Oryctolagus cuniculus: one gene and its partner. Each later gene encodes a partner of the first gene's protein in a complex. Links are inferred from orthologs where the notes say so. Each region holds a gene or a part of one and is shown in the gene's direction. Other genes may lie near its edges. The genes, in order: CAPZA2 and S100A1.

What was found.
Region 2: the proteins of CAPZA2 (region 1) and S100A1 are in contact, whole or in part, in an NMR structure (PDB 2KBM), measured with the Rattus norvegicus proteins. The link is inferred for Oryctolagus cuniculus from reciprocal best matches to the Homo sapiens genes CAPZA2 and S100A1. Residues at the interface, in NP_001009180.1 of Rattus norvegicus: Thr267, Lys268, Ile269, Asp270, Trp271, Asn272, Lys273, Ile274, Leu275, Ser276; in NP_001007637.1 of Rattus norvegicus: Ser44, Phe45, Leu46, Asp47, Lys50, Asp51, Ala54, Lys57, Ile58, Glu61, Leu78, Ala81, Leu82, Thr83, Ala85, Cys86.

The regions. Positions count from the first base shown.
Region 1 is NC_091434.1:152,377,864-152,382,125, forward strand, and holds the start of CAPZA2 (F-actin-capping protein subunit alpha-2), read left to right. Parts: upstream 1-1,191; 5' UTR 1,192-1,291; coding exon 1,292-1,330; intron 1,331-4,262. UniProt on the Homo sapiens protein: F-actin-capping proteins bind in a Ca(2+)-independent manner to the fast growing ends of actin filaments (barbed end) thereby blocking the exchange of subunits at these ends.
Region 2 is NC_091438.1:44,676,860-44,681,259, reverse strand, and holds the start of S100A1 (protein S100-A1), read left to right. Parts: upstream 1-1,554; 5' UTR 1,555-2,412; intron 2,413-2,732; exon of another isoform or gene 2,733-2,886; intron 2,887-4,249; 5' UTR 4,250-4,262; coding exon 4,263-4,400. UniProt on the Homo sapiens protein: Small calcium binding protein that plays important roles in several biological processes such as Ca(2+) homeostasis, chondrocyte biology and cardiomyocyte regulation.

The DNA.
Region 1 (4,262 bases):
AAGCTCCTGGCTTCGGCCTGGCTCAGCACCGGCAGTTACAGCCACTTGGGAGAGTGAACCAAGGATGGAAGATCTCTCTCCCTCTAACTTTGACATTCAAAAAATAAATAAATAAAATCTTGAAGTCTCAGAAGGGTTGCCAAATTTCACATATGAAAGTAAAGAACATCCAGTAAAATTAGAAACGGGTAACTTTTCAGTGTATCTCAAATGCTTCATTGGACACTTTCTTTTAAAAAGCCATTGTTTATTTGTAATTCGTATTTTGCTAGTTGTCCTGTATTTAATCTGGCCACCCTATTAAGGATGGTAGGATCCATTCCCTGGCAAAAGTGCAGCGCCTCCCCCAACTGCTCAGTGTGTGTCTGAAGAATAGAGGAAGTGAGTTATTTGAAAAGAGAGGTTTTGGGGCCAGCACTGGTATAGTAGGCTAAGCCTCTGCCTGCCAGACTGGCAAATCATTTGGGCTCCAGTTTCTGTCCTGGCTGCTCCTTTCTCGATCCGGCTCCGTACTAATGGCCTGGGAAAGCAGTGGAAGACAGCCCAAGTCCTGGGGTCCCTGCACCTGCGTGGGAGATCTGGAAGAATCTCCTGGCTCCTGGCTTCAGATAGACCCAGATCTGGCAGTTGTGGCCATTTGGGGAGTGAACCAGCAGATGGAAGATCTCTGTAACTACCTCTCAAATAAATAAAACCTTTAAAAAAGTGAGATTTCTGCCTTTTTGCGCAACATTGAAAATCCCGAGACTAACACGATGCCCGGTGCACAATAAAAGACCAATAAACGTTGAACGAGTAAACGAATTTACCTAGCACAATCTCACAATTACGGACTGGGATTGTGTGTGCCTGTTTTAATTAAAGCCGAGTATTTATCTAAGGATCCTATTTGTACGCTTTTTCACATTGGAGCTGGCAGAGTTCAGGACTCGATGGGAACGAATCAAGAGCTCAGAATGTACTCGTCGCAGACGGGGCCCATATGGTCACTGGTGGGGAGAAATCCCCGTTCGTTCTCCGGAGGCTGACAAGCCTGCGGCAGGCAGCAAGCGGCAGGCGGCAGTCGGAAACGCTTCCCTCTCCCGGCTTCCGAGGCGCCCGCGCCTGCGCACAGCCGCACTCCGGGCCCCCAGGGCCGGGTTGAGGGAGGCGGGGCTCCCAAGGCGCGTGCGCGGCGGTCTGGGCGGCGGGCCCCTCCCTTGGCGGGGGCGCGCGACACGGAGGACCGCACCGAAAGGGGGAAGTCAGGTGGCCGCTGCCGCCGCCGCCACGGTCTGTCGCCAGAAGGAAGATGGCGGATCTGGAGGAGCAGTTGTCTGATGAGGAGAAGGTAAGAGCCGCGGGGGCGGCGGCGGCGAGGGTCGGTGCGGAGCCGGGAGAGCTTCGGCGTGTCACCGCCGAGTCTGGACGGTGGCGACGGGCTTTGGCCGACGGGCTGTGCCCTCGGCTGCCCTTCCTCCCCCGCCTCGCTGTGCCCTAGTGCCTGCCCCTGTCAGTCAGTCGAGGCCCCCGCGCGGGCGCCCGTCTCTGACGGGCCTGCTCGCGCCGCTCCTTGTAGGGTGTGTGCTCCGAAAATAGGAAGCGGGCGCCGGGCGGCGGCTGCGGGCCCGGCGCGGAGGGCGGGGGCGGGGGCGGGGGGCGCGAGCGGAGGGCGGCGGCTGCGCGGGACCCTCTGCCTCGGCGCCGGCCGCGGGGCCGCTGCGCGGAGCACCGGGGACTGCAGAGGGGGTCTGTGTTCCGGCCTGGGAGAGGCCCAAGGGCAGTGCCCAGCCCGGCGGCCTGGCCTGGAGCGTCGCCGGGGGTGAGGGGGAAGGGGGAAAATCGCTTAGGAAGCACTTGGGCCTTCCACTTCCCCCGCCCCATCGCCAGAAGGCTGCCTTTCCTCCTCCTCCTCCTCCTCCTCCTCCTCCTCTCCGGCTTCCCTTTTGCCTACGGAGGTTTCTTGCTTTTTCTTTGCTTCGCTTTCGCTGGAAGCCGTGCAGCTCCGTGTTCCTTGAGAGGGATCCGAGTTGCTCACAAAAAGACCCCTTCCCGTAGTTCTTTTCTGCCCCGGTGGGCAGCAGCCTCCGGAGGCGGGGGGCGACCTGGTGCCACCCCGTTTCTTCCTGCTGGGACTTCTTCCGAAGCTAGGCGGTGCAACTCCTTTTAACCGTGTGTTCGATGCTGTGACAGCAATGGAACCAGATGAGAGACTTAAGTCCTCAGACGTGTGAAATAAGAAAACCGATTCTAGAACTAATTCTCTCTTATTCGCCCGTTCCCTTTGGCTGCAGGGGAAGGCCTGGTTCTCGGGGATGGGCGGGGTGGGGAGGAACCCTAATAATTTTTGACTATTTCCTGGAGAGGACCTTGATGTTTCTCAGACTTAAAAGTATCTAACACGACGTGAATAAGATAGTGTGACCGTTTTGGAAATGCCCGTCTGTAACCATGCTGCGTGCCTATGTTCTCAAAATAGTAAGGTTTTGTAGGAAACACAGGCAAGTTACATTACGATGTTTCACAAACCCTAATATCAGTCTAAGGATACTTTTATTTCTTGTGTTCTTGCATCAAAATCTAAGATTCTCTTTCCCCAGCTGAGTGTGCAGAAGGCAGCTCTGTCTTCAGTTTTAAAAGTGTTTTCTGTCTATGAAGTGGTAATAAAGAAACAACAACAGAAAAAAAAAAAAGAGGAGGGGAGAGCAACAAGATTCTCCATAATGGACAGGCCCCTGTCGGAGATCCGGCAAAAGTTACTGGGCACTGTTCATATGTGTGGTATTGGTAAACAGGCCGGAGGTGGCAACTCAAAGTGGACATGAGCAAACACATGCATACACGGTTCAGTAGTGCGGTTTCTCGAAGAGATTGTTGTGCCTTTACTCAATCATTCTGAAGTGGTTGTTAGTAGTTCAAGTGGCTAAAAATGTAGTTGGGGAGAGAGTACTCAGTGTGGGAGTTAATACAGACCTGCCATGTGTTGCAAAGGTCCGGAATAGCAAAATGAGATGCCAAGATCCCTTATTATCTGGCACTCTGGGAGCACCAAGTTCCAGAAGGGGCAGAAGCTGGCCATCCAGCTTGCCCAGCATAATATTGGATGAGTGAGTGAAAATTCCAGCTTGGATTTTGGTGTTTCTGTTTTTATTCAGACTTTTATGAAAATATTCTGTAGATATTTTACATACAGATTTCATCCCTGTATATGCTAATTTAAGGAAAAAACAGCTCAGTCAGTGGAATTTTAATACTCGAATTATGAAAATGCTTTTTTCAATCTTTGGGGAGAAGGATGTTGGTAAGGGATGAGAAATTGTGATATTTTTAAACTTAAATTTAAATCATGTTACTCTTTCTGCTCCTTTATTTGTAAGCTTCGAAAACAACCTTTTTGTACTCTTAAGCTTTGAAATTTTCATTCTGAAAGGCAGATCTAAGGGAAGGGAGCTGTTAAGATTTGTGTAAAACCCTTTGTATATAGACAAATACATTCTTAAATTTGTTATGAACTTGAGGTGGGTAGTTTTTTTTTTGTTTTTTTTGTTTTTTGACAGGCAGAGCGGACAATGAGAGAGAGAGAGAGAGAGAAAGGTCTTCCTTTGCCGTTGGTTCACCCTCCAATGGCCACCACGGCCGGCGCGCTGCAGCCGGCGCACCGTACTGATCCGATGGCAGGAGCCAGGAGCCAGGTGCTTTTCCTGGTCTCCCATGGGGTGCAGGGCCCAAGCACTTGGGCCATCCTCCACTGCACTCCCTGGCCACAGCAGAGAGCTGGCCTGGAAGAGGGGCAACCGGGACAGAATCCGGCGCCCCGACCGGGACTAGAACCCGGTGTGCCGGTGCCGCAAGGCGGAGGATTAGCCTAGTGAGCCGCAGCGCTGGCCTAGGTGGGTAGTTTTATTATTACCATTTCACAGATGAGTAAAGAGAGGTTTTAAGAGCTTTAAGTAATTCTTCCAAGGATAACTAGGTAGAAAGTGGCAAAGATGGTAGTTGGATCCAAGTTTGTCAGAGTTCAAATTCCATGCTCTTGTGATACCATGTTCTTTTAAACAAAATTGGTTACGCGATCCTTTTCTGGGTTTGTCTCTGTTTTTAATTTGTTGACAATTTTTTAAAAAGGAGAAACAATGGTTCTTTTAAAGTAAAATTTGTAGATACCAAAGATTAAATAGTGATGACTTCTAATATGTTTTTTGGTTTGTTTTTTTATTATTTAGCACATTTAAATATTTTTATTACTGGTATAATTTCATATATGCCTTATAGTAGGAAGCATC
Region 2 (4,400 bases), on another chromosome or scaffold:
GCTGCTCAAATAAATTAATCTTTTTTAAAAAGAATTATTTTATTTATTTGAAAGGCAGAGTTACAGAGAGAGGTAGAGCATTCCGCTGGTTCACTCCCCAAATGAGTGAACCCAGTTGGCCGCAACGGCCGGAGCTGAGCTGATCCGAAGCCAGGAGCCAGGAGCTTCTGCCAGGTCTCCCACATGGGTGCAGGGGCCCAAGGACCTAGGCTATCTTTTCCTGCTTTCCCAGGCCATAGCAGAGAGCTGGATTGGAAGAGGAGCAGCGGGACTCAAACCAGTGCCCATATGGGATGCCAGCGCTGCAGGCTGGGGCTTTAACCCACTGTGCCACAGCGCCAGCCCCAATAAATAAATCTTAAGAAAAAAAAAAAAAGAAGGAGAAGGAGGAGGAGAAGAATGAGGAGAAGAAGAAGGAGAAGAAGAAGAGGAAGGAGGAGAGGAAGAGGAAGAGGAAGAGGAAGAGGAAGAGGAAGAGGAAGAGGAAGAAGAAGAAGAAGAAGAAGAAGAAGAAGAAGAAGAAGAAGAAGAAGAAGAAGAAGAAGAAGAAGAAGAAACAACTCTTTGGCATGCCCACATTTGATATGGGAGTGCCTGGGTTCGAGTCCCAGCTCTGCTTCCAATTCCAGCTTCCCTCTAATGCGCTCCCTTGGAAGGCAGCAGGTGAGGGCACAAGCACTTGGCTCTTGCCACCCAAGTGGGAGACCCAGATGCAGTTCCCAGTTCTTGGCTTCAGCCTGGCCCAGACCTCTCTCTGCTGTGGGCATCTGGGGAGTGAACCAGCAGATGGGCCCACGGGCTCTCTCTGCCTTTCAAACAAACAAAAAAGATAAAGCGCCTGTGTCTTGGCAACTCACTACGGAGACCCCTCCATCTGGGAGGAGCTTTTCAGTCTGGGGTCCTTCTTTGGAGTCCTCTGAGTCTGGGGGCCATTTTGTGGGTTTTCTGTCCCTCCTGATCTTGCCCAGCCTGAAAGCCTCAAGCCAAAGCTTGCTAACGCTGGGGGTGGGTGCTCTTCCCCACAGAGAAGCCCAGGGTCTGGCACACGTCCAGCTGTGGTCAGGGCCGGCTCAGCGCGGTCAGCCCCATCTTCTCTGCTCCCCATCCTCCCTTTCCTCAGGGGCAGAGCCTTCCAGTGACAGCGGACTCCCTGCCCAGGGAGGGCTTGGCACCGGCGCTCACAGCCCCGGGCGGGCAGGGGAGGGCCAGAGGAAGGGGACACGCAGCTCTTCCCTCCCCCTTCGGTCCACCACACCCCCACATCACCACAACCAGACACAACACACATACACACACACACACTCCTGCGGAGACGAAGCTGGTTCTCCCCAAGCCACTTCCTGAATCCCTGCCTGACCTGGCTCCGGGGGAGGGAGCTAGGAGTCCAGGAAGAAAACAGACTCCCCAGGCTCCCCGCAAGGCTTGGGGGGGGATGCAACTCACCGGGACCAAGAGATTGGGTGCGGCGGCGAGCGACAGCGCAGGGCTGAGGTTTATAACGCCGGGGGGGAGGAGGCGAGAGCCACTCCCCAACCGACTGGGTCAAGTTTCCGAGGACCGCCCAATCACGCCTCCCGCCCCCGTGCACTCGGGCCCGGGGCCCGGCTCGCCCCCAGCCCCACCTGCCCCCGCTGGGGGGCGCTGCCCGGAGCTGCCTGGATGGTCCCGGCTTAGCCGGGGTCTTAACGAGGCTTTTCCTTCCCGGGGCTGGGGGCGCTGCACCACACCCCAGTGTCTATCCCGCAGTGTGTACGTCGGGTGGGGGAGGGTAGAGGAGGTGACTGCCGATGGGGCGCCCAGCACGGGAACCCCACCGAGGACCCTGCAGCCCAAGGCCTCCGTCGGGGCAGCCCAGGCTGAGACGCCCACGAACAGACGGAGTCCAGGCTGAGATAGCCCCCGTTGGGGTGTCCTCAGATTGAAAGCTCTCAGCGGGGTCTCTGCTGAAACCCCTCAAAGAGGCTCCCAAGACTGAACTGCTTATTAAGGGGTCCGCTCAGGGAGACTCCGGTGGAGGCGCCTAGGCTGAGACCCCCTCGGCAGAATCTGCCCTCCGCCGGTCCCAGCAGCCTCAGGAGCTGCACAGCTGAGCTGGCGCTGAAACAGGGCAGTGGTCCCGCTGCAGGTCTTTTCCCGCCTGCTTCCTCCTGTGCCCAGCAAGAGAGCAGAGAGGGGGGTGGCGGCAGCCGCCGCAGGGAAGAGACACAGGGCAGCCTGTTCTAGCCCGGGAGACAGAGGGCGCCTGTGTCCGTTCCTGGCCCCTTGCCCCCGAGGTGTCTGTCCGTGAAGGGGTGGAGCCGGCGGGCAGGGTGGGCGGAGGAAGGCCGGCTGAAGACAGGTCCCGCACAGTTCGGAAGCCACATTTGCAGCCTTGGCCCTCTGGCTGGAACCTGCTCCCACTTCAGGCTGACTGTGAGTATCCCGCCCCACCGCGGGCTGGGTTTCTGGCCTGGCCCACCTGGGGGCAGGGGGCTTCAGAGGGGCTCCAAGAGCCCATGGCCTATGGCACTGTGGTGCACTGTGGGTCTGGGAGAGGTTGGTCAGGGTTTGGGATCTGGGGGAGATGAGGTTTGGGAGGTGGTGGGGGCTGGGAGCCCAATGAGTGAGGAAGCCAAGGGGGGACTGTGCCACTGAGATTCCAGGGCCCCGCCTCCCACAGCCCTTGGGCCCCCTTCCAAGGCTCCCTCAGTCCCCCATGGGGAGGGGCCTCAGCAGGGGGTCTTGCTCCCCAGGGCTTAGAAGAGGAAAGCAGAACAGGTGTGTCGCTGCCTCCCTTCCAGCCAGCTCAGCTTCTGCCACCCCCACCGACCTTGCCAGCTCAAAGCCCAGGGAGGTCTGGAGGTGGCAGAGCACAGCCCATGTGACATCAGGAAGAGAGGTCCTCGGGTACCATGACCCCCCTCCCTTCCCTTTCTCAGCCTCTTTCCCCCCATTTCTTTCCTCTCAAGTTTTCCCATCTGCCCTGACCTGAGGCCCTCTCAGAACCACCCCCACATAAAATCCTAGGCCCCTCCTGGATGGCGCTGGTAACTGAGCCAGCGGCCTCCCTCCCTGGGGCACCCTTTTATCCCCTCCATCAGCCCCGGCTTGGGTTCCATCTCCCCTGTGTCTCTGTGACAACCACTTCTCATGTCCAGAGTTCAGGTGACACTCACAAGGGCCCCATTGAGGAACTGGGGTGTCATCTGATCAGGGCCCATTCATGGTCCAGTCCCCCAGGACCAGGGAAGGATGGCGACATTTGAGCTGAGACATCTGAGCTGCCCCTTGGGCCACCTGGCTTGGCACCCTCCTCTCCCCAACAGACCCCTCCACTCTCCTGCTCTCCCCCAGGCCTCCTGAACTCAAAAGACCTCATGCACTCAGCCCGTTCCCTCTCCCAACATACTAGTGCCAAGCCCCTGCCCCACTGCCCCCCATCAGTCAGGCTGGCCTCCAGGTCTCCTCTTCCCCTCCCTGGGAGCCCTGGAGCCTGGGCAAAGGCCTGCACATTCCTCCTTCCCTTCCCATCCCATCGCCCATCCCCGAGGTGGGATGGTTTTACAGAGAAGTCAGAGGAAACAGCCTGGAGATCGTGGGAAGTGTGCCCCAGAGAAGCCCCAAGGACTCTGTTCAGGAGAATGAGCTGAAGGACCAAAGGGGGCCCAGCTGCTGACAGGTGGCTGGGAAGCAGTGAGACTCCCTGCCCAAGAGGCCTGGGGGCCCCCGAGCCGGCTGCCACTCCTGCCATCAGGTACCACCCAAGTACCAAAGAGACTACCAAACACTAAGGGTGGTGGCAGAGTAGGCTTTAGAGGAGACCCCAGCCCACCACCCCCCACAGAAGAGCTTAGCTGCACTCAGCAGGCAAGGTCCAGGGTAAAAATAGAAAACGGAGCCAGAGGAAGCCAGACTGGTCCTGTGACCATCCTGCCTGCCCCACCCTCAGCAGCCTCTGTCCAGGCGGCCAGGAGCCATTGCGAGTGTCCACTGCAGGCCTCTGGAGCCCACCAGCGCCAGCGGCTGTGTCTCTATGCCCCAACCTGGCTCTCTGGCTCGGCTACAGAGCACAGGTCTGATAATTTAGGTGTCAGGGTCTCCCTGCAAGGTACAAGTTCAGAGAAAGATAAGAGGCAACAGGACTCCAATCTCACAGCTGTTCTGAGCTGTGGGACCAAGGCCAGGCCTGAAGGCTTCCCTCACCCAAACCCCAGACACCCTAGACCTGGTCCCCAGCTCACTGCCTCGCTCTGGGGGGCCTGGGGGGTAGGTGCACTGCCACAATGGGCTCTGAGCTGGAGACGGCAATGGAGACCCTCATCAATGTGTTCCACGCCCACTCGGGCAAGGAGGGGGACAAGTACAAGCTGAGCAAGAAAGAACTGAAGGAGCTGCTGCAGACGGAGCTCTCCGGCTTCCTG